Linked DNA regions of Lonchura striata. The protein of the gene in region 1 purifies or fractionates together with the protein of each later gene. This does not show direct contact. Links are inferred from orthologs where the notes say so. Each region holds a gene or a part of one and is shown in the gene's direction. Other genes may lie near its edges.

Evidence for each region. Proteins that work in one complex are often made in the same cells at the same time.
Region 2: the proteins of SUGT1 (region 1) and RNF41 purify together in Homo sapiens (affinity purification with mass spectrometry; 3 studies listed by BioGRID and IntAct, with this or other methods). This does not show direct contact. The link is inferred for Lonchura striata from reciprocal best matches to the Homo sapiens genes SUGT1 and RNF41.
Region 3: the proteins of SUGT1 (region 1) and CEP97 purify together in Homo sapiens (affinity purification with mass spectrometry; 3 studies listed by BioGRID and IntAct, with this or other methods). This does not show direct contact. The link is inferred for Lonchura striata from reciprocal best matches to the Homo sapiens genes SUGT1 and CEP97.

What each region holds. Positions count from the first base shown.
Region 1 is NC_134604.1:59,044,133-59,051,310, reverse strand, and holds the start of SUGT1 (protein SGT1 homolog), read left to right. Parts: upstream 1-4,166; 5' UTR 4,167-4,239; coding exon 4,240-4,271; intron 4,272-4,351; coding exon 4,352-4,397; intron 4,398-7,178. Other genes in the region: ELF1 (ETS-related transcription factor Elf-1), read left to right, coding at 48-660. UniProt on the Homo sapiens protein: May play a role in ubiquitination and subsequent proteasomal degradation of target proteins.
Region 2 is NC_134629.1:5,463,385-5,470,559, reverse strand, and holds the start of RNF41 (E3 ubiquitin-protein ligase NRDP1), read left to right. Parts: upstream 1-3,991; 5' UTR 3,992-4,060; intron 4,061-5,861; 5' UTR 5,862-5,994; intron 5,995-7,175. UniProt on the Homo sapiens protein: Acts as E3 ubiquitin-protein ligase and regulates the degradation of target proteins. Polyubiquitinates MYD88. Negatively regulates MYD88-dependent production of pro-inflammatory cytokines.
Region 3 is NC_134604.1:734,069-741,104, forward strand, and holds the start of CEP97 (centrosomal protein of 97 kDa), read left to right. Parts: upstream 1-3,852; 5' UTR 3,853-3,874; coding exon 3,875-4,046; intron 4,047-4,276; coding exon of another isoform or gene 4,277-4,586; exon of another isoform or gene 4,587-4,698; intron 4,699-7,036. Other genes in the region: ZBTB11 (zinc finger and BTB domain-containing protein 11), read right to left, coding at 311-542, 1,183-1,418, 4,277-4,586. UniProt on the Homo sapiens protein: Acts as a key negative regulator of ciliogenesis in collaboration with CCP110 by capping the mother centriole thereby preventing cilia formation. Required for recruitment of CCP110 to the centrosome.

The sequences.
Region 1 (7,178 bases):
TCAGCATGGAAGTGTTCTGACACAGTAATCTTCTCTAATCTTGGCAGGACTTTGCAGACTCCAACACAGGTTCCAGTGGTTGTTTCTCCTGGAAATCAGCAGCTGCATGCTGTAACACTCCAGACAGTGCCTCTTACTACAGTGATAGCCAGTACAGATCCAGCCTCAGTAACAACAGCACAGAAATTCATTTTACAAGCCATTCCTACTTCCCAGCCCATGACGGTTCTTAAAGAAAACATCATGCTACAGTCTCAGAAGCCAGTCTCACCTCCTTCCTCGATTGTGCTGAGTCCAGCACAAGTTCAGCAGGTGCTCACCAGCAGCGTGCAGACAATTTGCAATGGAACAGTCAACATGGCTTCATCTCCATCCTTCAGTGCCACCACCCCTGTGGTGACGTTCTCGCCCAGCAGCTCACAGGTGGTGTCTCAGCCATCAGGCACGGTGATCACTTCGGTCATTAAAGCACCGGACATGAAGCAGGTTGACCTACAAGAAGAGGAAAAGGAGGAGAGTGACAAAGCAGAAGATACTGAGCAGTCAGAGCAGAGATTCCAGCAGCAACCATTTGTGATGGTAGTGTCCAGTTCGAATAATTTCCCATCTAACATGCAAGTGAAGCAAGAAAATGAGCCATTGGAACCCAATTTGTATTGATAATTAAATAATTTTAAAAAAACTCCTGTGGATGATTATTTTCATAAATGTGATGGGACCTTTTCAGTTATGTATATATTATTTGATTCTGAAGCATGATTGTTGCAAAGCTACTAAAATTCTGCAGTTAATTCTTAGAATTCATGCTTTAAAATGGATTTTGATTTTCTGTTAATTGCTAAATGTTATCATATAAATAAAATTATATATTACTCATTTTTCAAAGTACAGGCATGAAGGAACATGCTTTTTATTCTATTAAGACTTTCTCCTGAGGTTGTTGGCCAAAGTTTCAAACTTCTCTTATTTTGGTGTCAGTCTGTTGCTGATTTACATTACAGTAATGTTATTGTAACCTTTTCTGTTTAATCTGTATGTGTATCACCTTTGGAAGCAGCAGTTAGTTTTAGTAAGACAGTTTCATTCCATGTGTCTGAATATTTGTGATTGAGTACCTGTTTCATATCAGTGAATGACATCAGTTTTAGACTTTGATAACCAGGTATCCTCTTGGATGTTTTGCAGCACAAGTTCTTGTGTGTGCAAAATTGAATATACACTCCTACTGAGAGTATTCAAAACAAGTATTCCAGAAATGGACAATGCCATGTCTATATTTTATATGGAAACATCAGATATATTTAATTACAGAAGCTAACGGCATCACTACAGGTGCAAATGTTTTATGCCATTTTGCGACTATGAAGCTTAACAATCTTGCTTTCTACTTCAGATTATTTTGTAAGGGGGGAGGGAAATTAAATATATACAATTTATGCAGGTTTTTGGAGATTAATACTGCTAAGAGTTCTTGGTTTTGATTGTAAATACTGTATATTCAATGTTGCAGGGAAGTTTTTTCAGCTAATTTTTTCCATACAAACTTTTGATAGATGCAAATAAGATCAATAAGATTGTTATGTTTAGAGGTCTAATGTTATATGTATTCATATTACTGAGTGACTTTGTATTTAAAGACAAATTTTTAAATGATGGAGCCCATGGAACCTTGGGTCCTTCTTTTGTATTTTTAATTGGTTTATTATGAAAATAAATCAAATGGAAAAAACATTTTCCTGTATTTACTCCAAAATGTTTTTTATTATTATAAAGTTTTGACGATCACCATGAATAAGTAAAATACAGTGAGAAACAGTACAGGGTGATTAGTCAGTGTGGGTCTATGGTGGAACATGAGCAATTCACAAATCACTTCTGAACAGACTTTAACGCAGTCAGTCAGTGTGCTGTCAGTATCCTTTGAAACAGCAGTAATGTATATTTTTGTAACTGAACTGAAGGTTGTGATAAATCCAGGAACTGGACTTAAACTTCTTTTCCATCACTTCCCAGTATGTGACAAAGAAACAACACGAAATTCTGAGTGTAATTCACAAAGGTGGTTGTAACTTGTATGATACAACTGACAGCCCAAACTATTAGGGCTTCAAAAACTTGCATGTTGCAGTGTTTAAGTAGAGGGCAAGTTAATAATAAATATTGTGCCTGGTATTATGATTCTGTCAGTATAAAATGAAAGGGAATATGACTTTCTATGATTGAATTAATGTTGGAGTTTTATTGATTGGTTGTTAAGGTTAAATATGACTTGGAGCACTAATACTAGAAAAACTAATAGGAGTAGAAGAGTGGCAGAGAGAGTATGGTCTTGCTGCTTGACAGAAGGAACTCTAGAAACTATTGAACAAGCAATTCTCTGCCACAGCTGCCCTGTTAGTTCAATGCTTCTCTCTGACTCTTTACAGCCACGTTTCCACCTGCAAACCCAGTGCCTCACCCAATTTACAGGAAGGCTGGTCATACCCACACCAGTGGTTGTTTATCTGACAGCACTCCCTGCAGCTAGGGAGTGCTGGCAATATTTTCAGGAATGTGGATAAGCTTTGTGGAAGCATATCTGGTAATAGTCCTCACTCTGAGGGCTGTGTTAGATTGACAGAAGCACTGGAGAGGGAGGCTAATTTTTTAAATCAAACTACAACATAGGGATGTTTTCCTTTCATAGTTCTAGAAAATCTGAAGTGGTAATGCTTGACTGACATAAGTGGTTTTAGATACAGGGACATTGCTTTGGTGTTTACTGGAAATGTGGGGGGAAAGAAATTTGCACCATAAGATTACAGCTTCACCAACAAAATTTCATGCCATAGATGCAGCTATTACACATGGAAAATGATTTGTCAGTTTAGTTTTTGTCAGTTGGAGAAGTGGTGGAAATCTCCAGCAGCAATAATGTGTCTCCAGCAGCGGACTGTTGTGTAACACACAGTAAATGGAAATCACTCCCTCCCCATATCCCTTGGGCTCTGGTGTGCCAGCCGGGTGGATCTGTGCTTTGAACTCTCGTTGATATGGCAAAGGAAGGGAGAAGCTGGAGCAAATAATAAAATGAGAGCTCACATTGGGAGTTTGAGCAACCCCTCCCGTCACAGCTGCCTTTGTGCCTGTGGCAGCAGCCAAACAAAACATGACAGCTTAAGTCCCAGCCACCTCTGAGTCAGAAAATAAAAATTGAAGCCTTGGTTCTTGTCCACACATGTGTGAAGCCACAGAGGGAAAAAAGGCACTAGTTTATTTTTGAGGCACACAGAAGGAAATGCCATCTGGAGGAGGTGGAGGAGGATGGAGGCCACAGGCTGTCTTTGTGAAGTCCTGTCCACCACCCTGTTGTCCTGAACATGGGCTGGGTGCCTGGTGCACAGCACCAGCTGACACACTGAGAGGTATTTCTAGTTTTTATTCTGATTTGCACAAAGTAGGGAGCTAGGTCATAACCCACAAAAGGCTGGTTCTCTGATTACTAAAACTTCACACTGGTTATAAATTTTAACAAACAAAGGCCTCCACTGGTTACAGATTTTATAACTTTTTTGTTAATTAATACTCTAACCTCTCTTGCTAGAGGTATTATAAACTGCACCAGTGGAGGTTTAGGTTGGATATTAGGAAGAATGAGGGCAAGCAGATACTGGAATGGGCTGCCCAGGGAGGAGGAGGTGGAGTCACCATCCCTGGAGGTGTTTAAGGAAATACTGGACTTGGCCTGGCTGTCACGGTGGTGTTCAGTCAGCGGCGGGACTCGATGATCATTTCCAGCCAAACGGACTCTGCGATCTCTTGCAGTTCTTCCCTCCCTCTGCCCTGCTTTAGGAGGTGTCGGGGCGTCCCCACGTCCCACTGCCGCAGTGACCTTTCCGCAGCTCTGCCCAGCCTGCTGACAGCCAGCTCCTCTGGTGATTGTGCTCCCTTTTCCTTTAACACCGCCCATCAGCCACGCCTACGATGCTCACAACGCAACTGCGCAACTACTCAACCATCCCTGCTACAGCTACCGGTTAACAACCGGAAAAAAAATTGCCGGCTTCGATACAAATCCTCGGCAGCTCGGAGCCCGAGGCGCCGTCTCCCCGGCGGCAGGCAGGGGGCGCTGCGCGGCGGGCGGGGCGGGGCGCGCGCGGCCGCTCCCGCGCCTCCCGGCAGCCCGCGCGCGCGGCCTGGCGCGGTGCGAGCGGCGCGGGCCCGGGGCGGCTCCAGAAGTTTCGGGGGGCGACGGGCGGCATGGAGGAGGCGGCGGCAGCGGCCCCGCCGCGGTGAGCGCCCTCCTCCGCCCTGCCTCCCCCGCGGCCCCGCCGCCCGCCCGCCCGCTGACGGCGTTGTGTTTCCTTGGCAGGTTCTCGGACGCGGACGTCGACCGGGACCCGGGGGTGGCGGCGCAGGTGAGGGCCGGGCCGGGCCGGGCCGGGCCGGGTCCCTCGGGGGTCCCTCGGGGGTCCCTCGGGAACCCGGCTCAGGTGAGGTCGGGCTGCAGGGGAGCCCGGCGCAGACCTGCCACAGTGCTCGTGTTGCCTGTGTGGCAAAGAAGGGGTTGGGGGGGGAAAGCAAAACAAACCAACTTTCTCTTCCGTGTAGGTAGATGATAGCTCACACAACTACATCCGTTAAGATTTGTGGGTATAAAACCCCAAGTTTATTGAAGAGAAGTTTTTCATCTTAGTTTTTATTTTGCCCTGGTCTACTTTATTCCACTCCCTACATTTTGTGGGCATCACGACTGATCTTCCATTCATCTGCATAGAAAATAATTTTTATGTAGTGGGAACGATCTCTCACTGAAACACCCTCCCCACGGACGTGGTAGAGTCCCCATCACTGGAGGTTTTCAAGACTCGAATAGGCAGGTTGCTAGATACTCTAATCTAGGCAGGCTTTCCCATGAAAGGTTAGATGAGATGATCCTTTGAGGTCCCTTCCAACCTGGCCTGTTCTATGTCTTCATCACTTAGTATGTTTTAATGTGTTTTCGAAGATAATTTTTACTTAGATGGTTGATGAGAAGACAGAGCTGGAGGGTGGCTAAGTATTTCTATTTAACTACTTGGGAGGGGAGAGGATGTAAATTGTTAGTACTGCTTGAAGAGAGTGGGTGGTAGAACCATTAAATGATACTTAATTATCTTTCCACAAAGAAAATGGTGAAGCTAAATTTTTCACTATTTTAGGGTTTAGGCTGTAACTTGTAGAAGTTTTTCAAAAGATAAATGACATTTAAAAACCAATTTGGAATAGCCAAATCTATATGGCACAACAAAAATAATTAAAGATCTAAAAAATGGTGTAAATTTCACATTTTGTAGTTTAAAAAAAAAAAACCAAAACAAAACATGAGGGAACAAGCTAAAAATCCCTGACACCAGGTCTTCAGAAGTATTAAGGAATACTGTTACAATGTGGTTTTGTATTTTTTCCTGGATTAACATAGTTGTTTTGCTTTTCTAGCTTCTATTTCAGTTCTTTGTGCATTCAGTGCTTCAGAACATTATGTAACCCATTCTATAGGCATTATTTAATACCTGACACAGTAATACTCGTGTCAGTTGTTAGGCCTTGTTTTCAAATCCCTGGATTGAGTAGGCAGATTGTGCTTGGTGGTCTCTGAACTGGTAAGTGCCACAGCTCAGAGCAGCATTTTCCTGACTTAGAAAATTTCCAGGTGCTACACTGTTCTGCATGGTCTTATGTGTGATCTTTATGTTCATGTGCTTAATATTTCTAATCTGGGGGATGATTGTGTAGACATGGTGCTATGTAATTTCTTTCATACCTGGCTGGGCTTCTGTCCAGTTGGCCTAGCATTTCTGCACTGTGTCCTTGGGATTCTTCTTGATTGCTTTAATTCCTGGAGGTTGTGCTTTGGCTTTCTGTACTTGGATCTGATGCAATTGAAAGATCATCATCTATCTTCTAATACTTTCTGAATGATAAAGATGTGAAATCATGAATGACTTCTTATTTTAAACTGAAAATGTAAGCTAGTACGTGGAGACAGAAGGTGCCTTTAATTCAGGCAAACTCTTTACCAAATTTTTCAGTGTGTTTAGAAACAGATCTGCAATTTGGTCACATGGTAAGGGCCTTTAGAGTCAAAATATGCAGAAAGCACATACTTGAGTGTGAGGACAAAGTCTAAGCTTGTTCTGAGTAACTGTTGCTGATGTCCATAGTCTGGAGTTCCCAGTGCTAGTCCAGTATGACTTGGCTTCTCAAATAGCTTACAGGAGTTACTTTCTCTGTGTGTCTGGATGAGATATGGTAACCTACTGATAAAAAGCACACAAAGAGAGAAGTTTTACACTGTTGAAAATGCTTGGCATTGCTTTACTTTCCTGGGGTGAGGGTTAGTTTTGTAGGAAGATCCATTTATGTGTTGCTGACTCTAATCAGTGCATCCGTCATCAGCATAAATCGCAGGAAATAATGTTTGGGGGGGAGAGGTGATCTGTCAAAGCAGTTGCCTCTGCACCTGAATATGCCTGTGATGTTCAGTATCAGAGTCAGGCCCTGCTTGGTGCTTCACCTCTCAGCATAATATGAACCAATTTTAATATGTGCATTGCCTCACATCCCTGCCATGTGGAATACCTGTAGCCATGAGTGTTTCCATAATGACAGCTGCTTTTGAATGACTTTAAATCTCAGGAAGGCATCAGTAAAAGTGGATCAAGTTACTGCTGCCTACTGCCTGCCCCTTTCTCAGAGACCCCCCAAGGATCTAGATTTATGTGCTGTACCTCTATAGAGGTGTGTGTATGTTACACAGTTAGAACTCGTGCCACTGCTAGAAGCTGTTCTGGCCACATAAGTCCTTGGTGGCATAAACACTTTATGTGACATCTGCTAGAAAAAGACACTGGTCTGAATTAGAGCTAAGGCAAGTCCTACTTCCCTTCTTTTTTCCCTGTCTTGGTGGGATAGAGTTTTGGCAGCTGTGCTGTACAAATATTTATGCAGGTTTAAAGCTTGTATCTTAGCTATGTTCATGCTTACTAGATTCCAGGTAGAAGTCTTGAGTAGAAGTCAGCTTAGCAAACAGAATTACTGTACTGTAGCAGTGTAATGTAGTTGCTTTTGGAAGACTGGTTTCTAGCAAAGGGAAGAACTCTCACCAGTAAGCAGAGAATTGGAAATGCTCTTTTCAGCTGTGTGCTTCAAGTTGCTGT
Region 2 (7,175 bases), on another chromosome or scaffold:
TTCAGTGCAAATCCATGAGGATTTGGGGTCAATTTTTTGGAAGTTGATGTAATTTTTTTGGAATTTGATGTAAATTTTTTGGAATTTGATGTAATTTTTTTGGAATTTGATGTGATTTTTTTGGAATTTGGGGTCAACCCGGGGGGATTCGGTGCAAATCCATGAGGATTTGATGTAATTTTTTTGGAATTTGATGTAAATTTTTTGGAATTTGATGTAAATTTTTTGGAATTTGGGGTCAATCCAGGGGGATTCGGTGCAAATCCATGAGGATTTAGGGTCAATTTTTTGGAATTTGATGTAAATTTTTTGGAATTTGGGGTTAATCCATGGGGATTCGGTGCAAATCCATGAGGATTTGGGGTAATTTTTTTGGAATTTGATGTAAATCTTTTGGAATTTGGGGTCAACCCGGGGGGATTCGGTGCAAATCCATGAGGATTTGGGGTAAATTTTTTGGAATTTGGGGTCAACCCGGGGGGATTCGGTGCAAATCCATGAGGATTTAGGGTAAATTTTTTGGAATTTGATGTAATTTTTTTGGAATTTGATGTAATTTTTTTGGAATTTGATGTGATTTTTTTGGAATTTGGGGTCAACCCGGGGGGATTCGGTGCAAATCCATGAGGATTTGGGGTCAATTTTTTGGAATTTGATGTAAATTTTTTGGAATTTGGGGTTAATCCATGGGGATTCGGTGCAAATCCATGAGGATTTGGGGTCAATTTTTTGGAATTTGATGTAAATTTTTAGGAATTTGGGGTCAACCCGGGGGGATTCGGTGCAAATCCATGAGGATTTGGGGTAATTTTTTTGGAATTTGATGTAAATTTTTTGGAATTTGATGTAAATTTTTTGGAATTTGATGTAATTTTTTTGGAATTTGATGTAATTTTTTTGGAATTTGATGTAATTTTTTAGGAATTTGGGGTCAACCCGGGGGGATTCGGTGCAAATCCCCTCAGATTCGTGCCAATCTCAGCTGAGACCCCCCGGGCACCCCCCGTGCCCCCCACACTCACCCCCTTGCCCTGCGCCTGCTGCGCCGCGTACTCGGGGTTGGGCTCGCTGAAGTTGGGCACCTCGGAGTAAACCATGCAGAACCTGCGGGCGCAGCGCGGCTTTTTGGGGTGCCCCCGGTGCCAGAACCCCCCTGGCACCCCAAAAACCCCCCAAAAACCCCCCAAAAAACCCCCCAGGCTGCTCCTCACTCGCCGATCTTCTGCAGGTCGCCGCCGCGGCCGGTGTAGAGCGTCAGGCAGCCCTTGAAGACGGAGGCGTAGCTGAGGATGAGGAGGGTTTGGGGGTCACAGTGGGGTCCCCAAGTGTCCCCAAGTGTCCCCAAGTGTCCCCAAGTGTCCCCAAGTGTCCCCAGAGGTCCCCAGTACCCCTTGGTGAGGCGGATGATGTCCCCGGGCTGGATGAGGTTGCCCACGTCGTCCCACACGGAGATGTTGATGCTGCCGGTCTTGTCGGCCACTTTGCACGTCCGAACCTCGTGGCCGTCCTTGGTCTTGGTCACCCGGCCTGGGGGGGACAGCGAGGGGACATTGGGGTGACCCTGGGGATATCGGGGTGACCCAGGGACATCGGGGTGACCCTGGGGACATCGGGGTGACCCTGGGGATATTGGGGTGACCCGGGGACATCGGGGTGACCCAGGGACATCGGGGGCACCCTGGGGACATCGGGGTGACCCCAGGGACATCGGGGTGACCCGGGGACATCGGGGTGACCCAGGGACATCGGGGGCACCCTGGGGACATCGGGGTGATCCCAGGGACATCGGGGGCACCCTGGGGACATTGGGGTGACCCGGGGACATCGGGGTGACCCTGGGACATCGGGGTGACCCTGGGGATATTGGGGGCACCCTGGGGACATCGGGGTCACCCGGGGACATCAGGGTGACCCTGGGGACATCGGGGTGACCCGGGGACATCGGGGGCACCCAGGGACATCGGGGTGACCCTGGGGACATCAGGGTGACCCTGGGGACATCGGGGGCACCCTGGGGACATCGGGGTGACCCTGGGGACATCGGGGGCACCCTGGGGACATTGGGGTGACCCGGAGACATCGGGGTGACCCTGGGGACATCGGGGGCACCCAGGGACATCGGGGGCACCCAGGGACATCGGGGTCACCCGGGGACATCGGGGTGACCCTGGGGACATCGGGGTGACCCGGGGACATCGGGGTGACCCGGGGCACGGGGGGCACACGGGGGTGGCACCGACCGGTCTCCAGCACGATGAAGATGAGGTTGAGGTTCTTGAGGCCGGGTTTGACGTCCTTGACCAACGTCTCGGCGCTCATGGCGGCGGCGCGGCCGGCGGGGACAGGGGTGGCACCCTGGGGACACGGGGTGGCACCCTGGGGACAGCAGGGACACCAAATGGCACCCTGGGGACACGGGGTGGCACCCTGGGGACAGCAGGGACACCAAATGGCACCCTGGGGACACGGGGTGGCACCTTGGGGACAGGGAATGGCACCTTGGGGACACCAAATGGCACCCTGGGGACAGCAGGGACACCAAATGGCACCTTGGGGACAGGGGTGGCACCTTGGGGACACCAAATGGCACCCTGGGGACACCACATGTCACCTTGGGGACACTGAGTGGCACCTTGGGGACACGGGGTGGCACCCTGGGGACAGCAGGGACAGGGAATGGCACCTTGGGGACACCGAGTGGCACCTGGGGGACACAGAATGGCACCTTGGGGATGCGGGGTGGCAGCCTGGGGACACCAAATGGCACCCTGGGGACACGGGGTGGCACCCTGGGGACACGGGGTGGCACCTGAGGGGACAGCGGGGATATGGATGGGACCCATGGGGACACGGGGTGGCACCTGGGGACGTGGAATGGCACCCTGGGGACAGGGAATGGCACCTTGGGGACACTGAGTATCACCCTGGGGACACTGAGTGGCACCTTGGGGACACCGGGACCCGGGGATGGAGCGGCGGGAGCCGGGCGGGACATCGCGGGTGGAGCTTGGGGACATCCCGGAGGGACACCGGGACCGGGAACATCCCGGATGGGCACCGGGACCGGGAACATCCCGGAGGGACACCGGGAACATCCCGGATGGGCATCGGGAACATCCCGGATGGGCACCGGGACCGGGAACATCCCGGAGGGACACCGGGACCGGGAACATCCCGGAGGGACACCGGGAACATCCCGGATGGGCATCGGGACCACCGGACCGCGGGGACGCGGGGGCGGCCGGGACACCGGGGACAAGAACGGGACTACCCAAGAGCGACACTCCGGGGACACCGGGACCAGGAGCGGGACCGGGAGCAGGAACAGGACCGGGAGCAGGAGCAGAACCGGGAACGGGACCGGGAGCAGAACCAGGACCAGGACCGGGAGTGGAACCGGGACCGCGCTCCCTCCCGTCCCGCCACGCGAGGGCGGCCGGGACACCGGGGACAGGACCGCGGGATCGGGACTACCCACGAGAGACACTCCGGGGCCACCGGGACCGGGACCAGGACCGGGAGCAGAACCAGAGCCGGGAGCAGGACCGGGAGCAGAGCCGGGAGCAGGACCGGGAACGGGACCGGGACCGGGACGCGCTCCCTTCCTCCGGTCCCGCCGCCAGGGGGCGCCCGCCCCGCCCGCCGCGCGCTCACCGGGACCGGCGCCGCCGCCGCCGCCGCGGGCGATCCCGGAAGTCCTCCACCGCAGCCAATCAGCGCGCGGGGAGGCGGTTGACGAGCAGCATGCCCAACCAATAGCGATGGAGAAAAGGCGGGACTAGGAGGCTAAACCACGCCCCCTCATTCCCTCATTCTCCGCCTTTACCACCGAGTTCCCGCCAGGGCGGCACTTCCGGCCAGGGCAGCACTTCCGGCCAGGGCGGCACTTCCGGCCAGGGCGGCACTTCCGGCCAGGGCGGCACTTCCGGCCAGGGCGGCACTTCCGGCGCGGCGGCGGCGGCACCGGGAGGAGGCCGCGGCCGCCGCTGAGCCCCGGGCGGCACCGGGCGGCACCGGGAGGCCCCGAGAGGCCCCGGGCGGGCCGGGCCCGCCCCCCGCGGTACGTGCGCTGTGGGAGCGGCGGCGGAGCGGCCCCGGGGCGCTGCTCGGGGCTCCCGGTAGCACCGGGAGAGGCCGCGGGGGGGGGGGGAAGCGGGTACCGGGAATGGAACGGGAAAAGCCGGGGGAATTTCGGGGGAAATTGAAAAGAATTTGGGGAAAATCCAGATAAATTTTTGGGGAAAATCCAAAAGAATTTGGGGAGAATACAGGGAAATTTGGGAAAATTCTGGGGAAAATCCCGAGGAATGTTTGGGGAAAATCCAAAAGAATTTGGGGGAGAAATCCAGAGGAATTTTGGGGAAAATCCAGAGGAATTTGAGGAAAATCCAAAATGATTTGGTGGGAAATTCAGGGAAATTTGGGGAAGAAATCCAAAATTAATTGGGGGGAAATCGGAAATAATTTGGGGAACGATCCAAAAGAATTTGGGGAGAATATGGAGAAATTTGGGGGAAATTTGGGAAAAAATCAGAGGAATATGGGGGAAATCCAGAGAAATTTTGGGGAAAGTCCCAAATAATTTGGGGGGAGATCCAAAAGAATTTGGGGATAAATTCAGAGAAAATTTGGGGGGAAATCCAGAAAAATTTGGGGAGAATATGGAGAAATTTGGGGGGAATCTGAAATAATGTGGGGAAAATCCAGGAGAATTTGAGGAAAATATGGGAAAACTTGTGTGAAAATCCAGAGGAATTTTTGGGGGAAATCCAAAAGAATTTGGAGAAAATCCTGAGAAATTTGGGGGAACTCCAGAGGAATTTGGGGGAAAATCCAAAATAATTTTGGGGGGAAATCCCAAATAATTTGGGAAAGACTCCAGAAAAATTTGGAGAGAAATCCAGAGACATTTTGGGGAAAATCCAGAAACATTTTGGGGGAGAATCCAGAGACGTTTTTGGAAAATCCAAAATAATCTGGGGAAAATCCAGTAGAATTTGGGGAAAATATGGAAAAATTTGGGGAGAGAATCTGGGGAACAATCCAAGAGAATTTGGGGAAGACTCCAGGGAAATTTTGGACAAAATCCAGGGAAATTTGGGGAAAAATCCAAAATATTCCCAAATTTCTGAGCTTGGATCCCAGTGGGAACTGGGCTGGAGTTCCCAAATTTCTCAGTTTGGATCCCACTGGGAATGGAATTCCCAAATTTCTGAGTGTGGATCCCTGTCCAAGCCTGGCTGGGGGCTCCGTTATTCCCAAAATTCCCAAAAAAAAAAGCAGAGCAGGGCAGGATTTCTTCCCATCGTTGGGAATTCCAGGTGGGAATTGGCTTTTCCAGGAATTTCCAGGTGGCTTTTCCAGGAAATTCCAGGTGGCTTTTCCAGGAAATTCCAGGTGATTTTTCCAGGAAATTCCAGGTGATTTTTCCAGGTGGCTTTTCCAGGAATTTCCAGGTGGCTTTTCCAGGAATTTCCAGGTGGTTTATGCACAAAATTCCAGGTGTTTTTTCCAGGAAATTCCAGGTGATTTTTCCAGGAAATTCCAGGTGATTTTTCCAGGAATTTCCAGGTGGCTTTTCCAGGAATTTCCAGGTGTTTTTTCTAGGAATTTCCAGGTGTTTTTTCTAGGAATTTCCAGGTGTTTTTTCTAGGAAATTCCAGGTGATTTTTCCAGGAAATTCCAGGTGGTTCTCCTAGGAATTTCCAGGTGTTTTTTCCAGGAATTTCCAGGTGGTTTATGCAGAAAATTCCAGGTGGTTTATCCTGGAATTTCCTGGTGGCTTTCCCCGGCATTTCCGGGTGTTTTTTCCGGGGATTTCCAGGTGACTTTTCCCGTTTTTTTCTCTTTCCTGGGATCAGATCCGTCCTGCCGGACCTCGCGGCGCCGCCTGTGGGAGACGAGAGGGAAAAATGGGAGAATTTTGGGAGAAATTCCCGGCAGAGAGCGAGGCCAGCGCAGCCCTGCGGCATTCCCGGGATTCTGCCACGGGAGGTAACCCCAGCGGCCTTTCCATGGGAATTCCTGCCTTTTCCAGGGAATTCCTGCCTTTTCCATGGGAATTCCTGCCTTTCCATGGGAATTCCTGCCTTTCCATGGGAATTCCTGCCTTTTCCGTGGGAATTCCTGCCTTTTTCCATGGGAATTCCTGCCTTTTCCATGGAATTCCTGCCTTTTCCATGGGAATTCCTGCCTTTCCATGGGAATTCCTGCCTTTTCCCGTGGGAATTCCTGCCTTTTTCCAGGGAATTCCTGCCTTTTCCATGGGAATTCCTGCCTTTCCATGGGAATTCCTGCCTTTTCCATGGGAATTCCTGCCTTTTCCATGGGAATTCCTGCCTTTTTCCATGGGAATTCCTGCCTTTTCCAGGGAATTCCTGCCTTTTCCAGGGAATTCCTGCCTTTTCCATGGGAATTCCTGCCTTTCCATGGGAATTCCTGCCTTTTTCCATGGGAATTCCTGCCTTTCCATGGGAATTCCTGCCTTTTCCAGGGAATTCCTGCCTTTCCATGGGAATTCCTGCCTTTTCCATGGGAATTCCTGCCTTTCAGTGGGAATTCCTGCCTTTCCATGGGAATTCCTGCCTTTCCATGGGAATTCCTGCCTTTTCCAGGGAATTCCTGCCTTTTCCAGGGAATTCCTGCCTTTTTCCATGGGAATTCCTGCCTTTCCATGGGAATTCCTGCCTTTCCGTGGGAATTCCTGCCTTTCCATGGGAATTCCTGCCTTTTCCAGGGAATTCCTGCCTTTTCCAGGGAATTCCTGCCTTTTCCATGGGAATTCCTGCCTTTTCCAGGGAATTCCTGCCTTTCCATGGGAATTCCTGCCTTTTCCATGGGAATTCCTGCCTTTCAGTGGGAATTCCTGCCTTTCCATGGGAATTCCTGCCTTTCCATGGGAATTCCTGCCTTTTCCAGGGAATTCCTGCCTTTTCCGTGGGAATTCCTGCCTTTTCCATGGGAATTCCTGCCTTTCCATGGGAATTCCTGCCTTTTCCAGGGAATTCCTGCCTTTCCATGGGAATTCCTGCCTTTTCCAGGGAATTCCTGCCTTTTCCAGGGAATTCCTGCCTTTCCATGGGAATTCCTGCCTTTTCCAGGGAATTCCTGCCTTTTCCATGGGAATTCCTGCCTTTTCCAGGGAATTCCTGCCTTTCCATGGGAATTCCTGCCTT
Region 3 (7,036 bases), about 58 Mb from region 1:
TCGACTTTGTTCCCTTTTTAACATTTGTGACTAATACAAGGAGGGAACATGCCTAAGCAAGGTAAAAATCCCTCAAAAGCTTCTCAGAAATTTTAAGGTTAAATACCACAGTCCATGGAAAATCAGATTAGGCAAAATCAGAGTGATCACTTTTGCATTACAATCCACACAAAATATTTCTAGATTAAAATAGAGAAAAAAGCAAGATAAAATTTGGTTGTCTTTAACACTCAAAAAAGACTGAATTAAATACCGTACACCTTACTTAGGATATTATAGATTTCTAGCTTTGAAACCCACAGCAATTCACCTGACAGATCCACTACAGCTTCATGACTAGTGACAGCTCCCTTTTCAATGAAGAGCTCTCGGAAGTACTCGCTGTTGGCTGCCAAGACAGATTTGTGAGCTTTGTACTCCTCTCCTTCAATCAGCAAAGTCACATCACAGAACTGATTGGAAAGCCTCTGCTGATTCAGCTGGTTTAAGACTGACAGACAATGTTTGGAAGATGACTGCTTCACAAGGCCCTTACTGTCAACCTGTCATAAACAACATTTAAGAACTTCATTACATTTAGATTGTGCCTTTTTAAGCATTCACACTGAAACACAGAAAAGGATTATTTTCTGCAACCATACAATCAGTTCAAGCCTGGAGAATATACAGCTTAACTTTACTATTGTTTTCTTTCTTTAAGTTTCACCCTCCCTCCAAACACAATTAAAACCAACTGGGAAAATGGGAAGACATATTCAAACAGCTCTTTGACTGTATTTTTCTATGTTACAGTCTGAAAAAGTTTCTAAATTCAAATGTCTTTTATGTGCATGTGAGCCTGCAGTTATGAACAAGAAGTTTACATATCAGTACAGCATCATGTGTTAAGAGAAAGATATAGAGCCCATAAGAATCGGGTATGTGATGTTTTACTACTGCCATTCACTTTACCTTAGATTCTATATGCGTAATATATAGGGTGATTTTATTTCCCAGCAATGGTGTCCTGTAATTAATTTCATGACATATACACCAGTATCCCATTTCTACATATTCGGTATCTTTGGCAAAATTTATAGTCTTGCTGTAACAAGATTACCACAACAATGGAAAAGAAGTACATGACCAAGAAAGCAGTAATAGAAAATGCAAATCTATTCAGCTGTAAACAGTGGTACTTACAAACACAAGCTCGTGCTTTGCTATTGGCTTCTTCTTCACAGGCTTTGGGGATGCTGCTGGGATTGATGCTGTGTTACTCAATTCATCATCTGTTTCATTACTGTCTTCATGAGATTTTGCATCCAGTCCTAGCTCCTCCAGCATTTCAGAAGGATCTGACAGAGATCTAGAACGATCTAGCTTTTCCTGGCACTTGCTGCATTCTTTAATGTAATCTTTAACCTGCTTAAGAATACCTAAAAAAAATTAATGGAGCTTGATTAGGCTTCTAATCTTAATTCCATTTACTGTAAACAAATAACTATGTAGAAGATTAGCAAAATATCAATAATAATCAAAAATATTACATACTAACCAAGAAAAATAAAGCGAGTCACCTACACTCTCCCTCTCTAATGCAATATTATCAATTCTATTGTCTCACCATTGCAATATATTGTATGTCTCTACTGCTAATTTGAGACAGAACATTCTGAATACCACTACATCAAGAAAACCCTCCTAGAAAGGTTATTAAGGCTAAAACAAAACCCAACACGGTATTCAGAAATTTAGTCTCATCATCCCAAGGTAATGACAAATGTAATGTAATCCTGTATTTAGCCCACACAAATGGCTTGCTCCTCCTGAAGAGGACAAGAATTGGAAGGCTCACTTATGAGCTTTAGCAAAATTGGGATCAACGGTGCTACATGCAATGACACTGATGGGAACTATTAATGCTGATTTAAAACAATTGCTTATGATTTTGGGATTTAAATAACTCCATTTCCCACCACTACTTTAACCAGTGGAACTAAATATAAATGAGAGCACCCAAGGAAATAGCCTGCATTTGTGTCAGGGGAGGTTTAGGTAGGATATTAACAACAGGTTCTTCATCCAGAGGGTGTTTGGGCCCGGAACAGGCTTCCCAGGGAAGCAGTCACAGCACCAAGCCTGACAGAGTTCACAAAGTGTTTGGACAATGCTCTCAGGAATGACTCTTGTGCCTTTTGGGGATGGTCCTGTGCAGGGCCAGAAGCTGTATTCAGTGATCCTTGTGCGTCCCTTCCCACTCAGCACCTTCTGCAATTCTGTAAATCATTTCAGACACTCAACAGGTCCTAGGTGCAGGGTCCTCTTCTAGATACCAAGGCATTTGCCACGCATGGCTTTCAATCCAAGTTCGTTCTCTTCACCAGCACAATATAAAAGCACGTATAGCAGGTGGCCATGATTTAAAATCCAGCACAGCTCAAAAGCTTTGCTGACCCAGACTTAAGACTTGCTTGCTCACATCTCCTCAGAGCATGACTTGCACTATCATTAAATACCTGTCTCTGCAAGGGTGAGGAAAACAGAGACTTAAGGCAAGCTAAGATATTAATTCCCATTTCAACATTTGTACATCTCCTTGATTTCATCTGAAATGAGACAGGGGCTGCAAATCACATCTCTAACACCCTTCCTGGCCTCAGAGCCATTCTCCAGCCCATGGCCTTGCAGCTACAGAACAGACACACAGCAGGCTGATGTCCTTCTCAGGATGGCAGCTGGGCCAAAGCTGCTGTCCATAGCAGCCAGCGAGTACTGTCATGCCTGGGAAAACATTGTCTTAAGGGAGACATATGTAAGAAACATAACACTTGAACTGAAAGCATGGAATGAATTTTAGTATTCTCAGTGTAAGAGAAGCAAGAGGATTTAGGGTGTGCAAATAAAGGTGACCAATAAGATCAAAAGAATACAGAATGCCTTCTCCTGACTAACAGAAGCTACACTGAGGCAGGCCCATGGAGAAAGTTTCCAGCACAGGATAAGAGTAGATGCCAGAACAGCACAATGCTGAGCAGACAATGAGAATGCAAATAAAGGCAAGGAAACAAAAATGGGTGTATCAGCTTTGAGATGCCAAACCCTTTCTTCACATGAAAATACCTTCAAGTCAATGAGATCTGGACTGGAGGGACTGACTGCAGCTAGAGCAAAATCCCTCCAACTGAAAATAGGGAAAACTAAAGCTGAAATTACAGACTTGCTGATGGATGAAGAGAGCAGAACAAGAGAAGCAATATAAACATAAACACACACTGGGCCCATGGCAAGTGAAAAGCAGGCTATTTGTTTCATGGATATCTAGGGCTAAAAGCAGAACAGCAAATCGAAAGGGAACAAGATATGGAGTCATTTCCTCAGGCAAAAGAAAATCCCAATTGGAAATGATTGCTGTTCAGGCACCAGCATTTCTAACAGCTGTGACATCACTCAGGACCCAGCTGAGAATTAGCCTGGTCTCTTCAGCGTGTCGCTGCAAGAAGGAGACAAATAAAGCAATGAATGCCAGGACTGCCAACCACCACTGGCAGCTGCAGTACTTTAACACGAACACCATCACATGCACGAATGAGGTCCAAAGCTAACACAGGTGACGTGGACTGGATTATCACCCTATCCCAAGGGCACAGTGGAGATGCCACTGCCTTACCTGGGCTGCGTGCAAGACCTGGAGGGGACAGCTGTACTCCGCGTTTCTACCTATTCAAGGTGCCAGCACCCGACCAGAAGCCTGGACAATGCGCTGACCAGATGCAGCGCGCAGGGTGAGCCCTGCCTCTCGGGCTGTGACACATCTCACTGCCACACTGCTTCCAGGTGGCGTTTAAAGGCTCTGGTCACTCAGCGAGTGACAGTCCCTCCTGTCCCGCCAGGGATGGGAACACGGAAGGGAGACCTTCAGCACAAGGGAGACATGCAACTCCGGCTACAGCGGAGGCAACGAAGATGGTTAAGGGACCGAATCATCTCTTTAGGAGGAAAGGCTGAGGGAACTGCGCCCGCTCAGCCTCGAGACGAGACGACTGAGAGGGGACCGCATAATGTCGGTAAATATCTAAATAGAGAGTGCCAGGAGCACGGAGCGAGGTCCCGCTGGTGCCAAGCAATGACACAAGGAAGGGAAACTAATGCACGGGAAGTTCCACGCGAGAACGCGAGGAGCTAGAACAGAACAGAACCAGAGCACTCGAGTGAAGGCGCCGGCGCGCTGGCACAGGCTGCGAGCCCGCATCAGGGGAGCCGAGCCGAGCCGAGCCGCGCCGAGCCGCGCTCTCACCTCTCCACCAGTAGCGCTGGGACAGCCCGTGCCAGGTCTGCAGGCGGGTGCGGTGCGCGCCGTCGGGCGCCAGGTGCGCGGCGCGGATGAGGCGGGCGCGGCGCTCGGCCTGCAGCACCACCTCCAGCTCGGCGAAGCGCTGCTGGTCGCGCTGCCGCCGCTGGTAGTACAGCGTGCCGCCGCGCACCACGTAGCAGGCGGCGGCCTTGCGGATCTTCCGCTTGGCGTTGCCCTCCGTGCCCGGCGCGTACGGCTCCCGCTCGTTCGTCAGGTACCGCAGGATGGCCAGGTAGCTCTCCTCGCTGGACATCGCGCCCTCAGAGCCCTCAGGGGCTGCGGAGGAGCCTGCCGGGGTGCGGGAAGGGGGTCGGGATGGGCCCCGGCCCGGCGGGAGCCGCGCCGGGGGGGAACTGGAGTGTCGCGGCCCGCGGCGGCGGGAGGGAGGGAGAAGCTCGGGCAGCGGCGGCGGCGGAAAGACAAAATGGCTGCTGCACAAGCGGAAGTGAGGCGGCGCCGCGCGCGCGCGGGAGGGGCGGGGAAGGGGCGGGGGGAGCGGGTCCGCCATCTTGGAACCGGGCAGGGGACAGCCCGGGCACAAGGCGGGGCCGCCATGTCGGAACCGGGCAGGGGACAGCCCGGGCACAAGGCGGGGCCGCCATGTCGGAACCGGGCAGGGCAGAGCACGGGCGCGAGGCCGGGGCCGCCATGTCGGAGCCGGGCAAAGCCCGCCGCGGGGCGCGGTTGCGGCGGTGCAGCCGGGAGCGCTCCCGAGGGAACGAATGCCAGGAATGAACCCCTGGAATGAACCCCTGTGCAGCCCCGGCTCCCAAACTCCTGCTCGGCGGGCAGGAGCTGCCAGGGGAGTAGTGGGGTCACCCGTGCCCAGCGGGAGCAGCAGCAGCGCCGCAGCCACGCCCCGGGGCGCTCGGGGCGCGCTGTTCGTCCGTAAGGGGCAAGAAACAAAGTCCTTTAGAAGGCGGCTGCGCGTTTTGCTTGTCCGAGCTGTGCGCTGGTTTTTACGCCCGTAACAGAGGCACGCCAGGCGGGAGCCGGGGGCTGTGGCTGTTTCCCATTCCCAGTTCCATTCCCCATCCCTTTCCCTGCGCTCGGTACCTGCGGGGCGCACGGGGAGCACCGCGGTCCCCACACACAGATACCCACCAGACTGAGCAAAGCCGCCCAAAAGCGCTGTTTATGTAGAAAAAGGGCTCTGTATTTAGTTTTTCGGATTAACAATGGCACTGGTCGAATACTGGAACAGGCGGCCTTAGGTTATGGAATCTCTGTCCTTGGAGTTGTGTTCAAGACTCAGCTGGATACTAAATCCCATCTAAACAGACGCATTTTCAACAGAGTTGATGTCCTTTTAAACCAAAATTATTTTGTAGGTCTGTGACAAACGTAGGTACGCAATTTCTCCTGACAAATACCTGATAGAGGCTCAACTACATTAAATTAGGTGAACAAGGGCTTACATTAATTTCCGTAACTCATTCTATTACATCTGTGTTTGAGGTGAATAAAGTGCTGTTTATTCTGCTCTGAACAGCCTGCCTCACTCAGTGCATAGCTTTTCAGAAGAGTAACCTGATGGGCTGTCACTCTTCTTCTCATATCACAACTCGGGAATAAGCAGCAAGGAAGAGAAATTGTGAAGCCCTTCTGTGCACTGCTGCAGTGACACCAGGCAGCCAAAGCCTGCAAACTTCAAAGCATTAACAAATACTAACTTATTAATTAGTCATATCTGCCAGTTTCTGTATATATCATTAATGGTATTTCAAGCAGATGGTAAAAACTCATCTTTATTTTCAGCTTCTTAGCTGAAAATATTCACAAGGACACATTCAGGGTACCAGGTGTCTTGTAGAAGACAGTGATGTGATTTTTATAATCGCCACTAGCACGGGTAATATTCAGAGGTGTTTTCAGCCTTCAGTATTAAATTATTATAATTCCTTTCCCTCCTAACTACAGGCAATTTTTCTTCCTCTCTTTTCCCCTCTTGTTTCTGGACCCTTTGCTTTCAAACGTGCTAACTAGCTTCCAATTTCTTTCTAAATAAGTAGCGCTGGATTTTGTTAATAGCAAAAAGCAAAATTGTTTGGAAGATCATGGTGCAGATTCAATTAATATCATCAAGCCAGACCTTTTTAAATGGGTTGTAGCCTTCATCCAGACCCATATCTATTTTACTAAAACCCAAACAAGGTGTTAAGTACAGCCCATAATCCACAGTGCCCATTACAGCCATTGTTTTCGAAGCCCAGGACTGCAGGAAGTTGAAACACAGCCGTCTTCTTGACTGGTCGTAAGGTAACAAATCAAGCCCTCACAGTATCAACAGAAAAGTAACTGATACAGAAAATAGTGAAGGTTTGCTTTCTGTTTTGGTTCTAGTTAATCAGGACATTGCTTTGCCAAGGCCATTCCTGTCCAGCAAAACCGGCAAAGTCTGGGCAAGCTGTCTGCACAGTGCAGTTACTTAGCAGACACAGGAACTCCCATAAGGAATTTCAATCCCTCTAGCAGTGGGAGGGTGGAAAATTACTAAGGGAGCCCCTAGCTGCATTCAGCAAGTTAAATATGAACCTAAATGTGCTTTAACTGTGTAACATCAGCTGCATTTGAAACCAAATCTTCACACATTTCCTTTCCCTAACAACAGCTTCCAGCATAATTTTGGAACTTCCTGACCCAGAAGCTGCATCTGAATCTTTGTGTGTAAGAGTCATGCAGTCTGTGAAACCATCCTTTCCT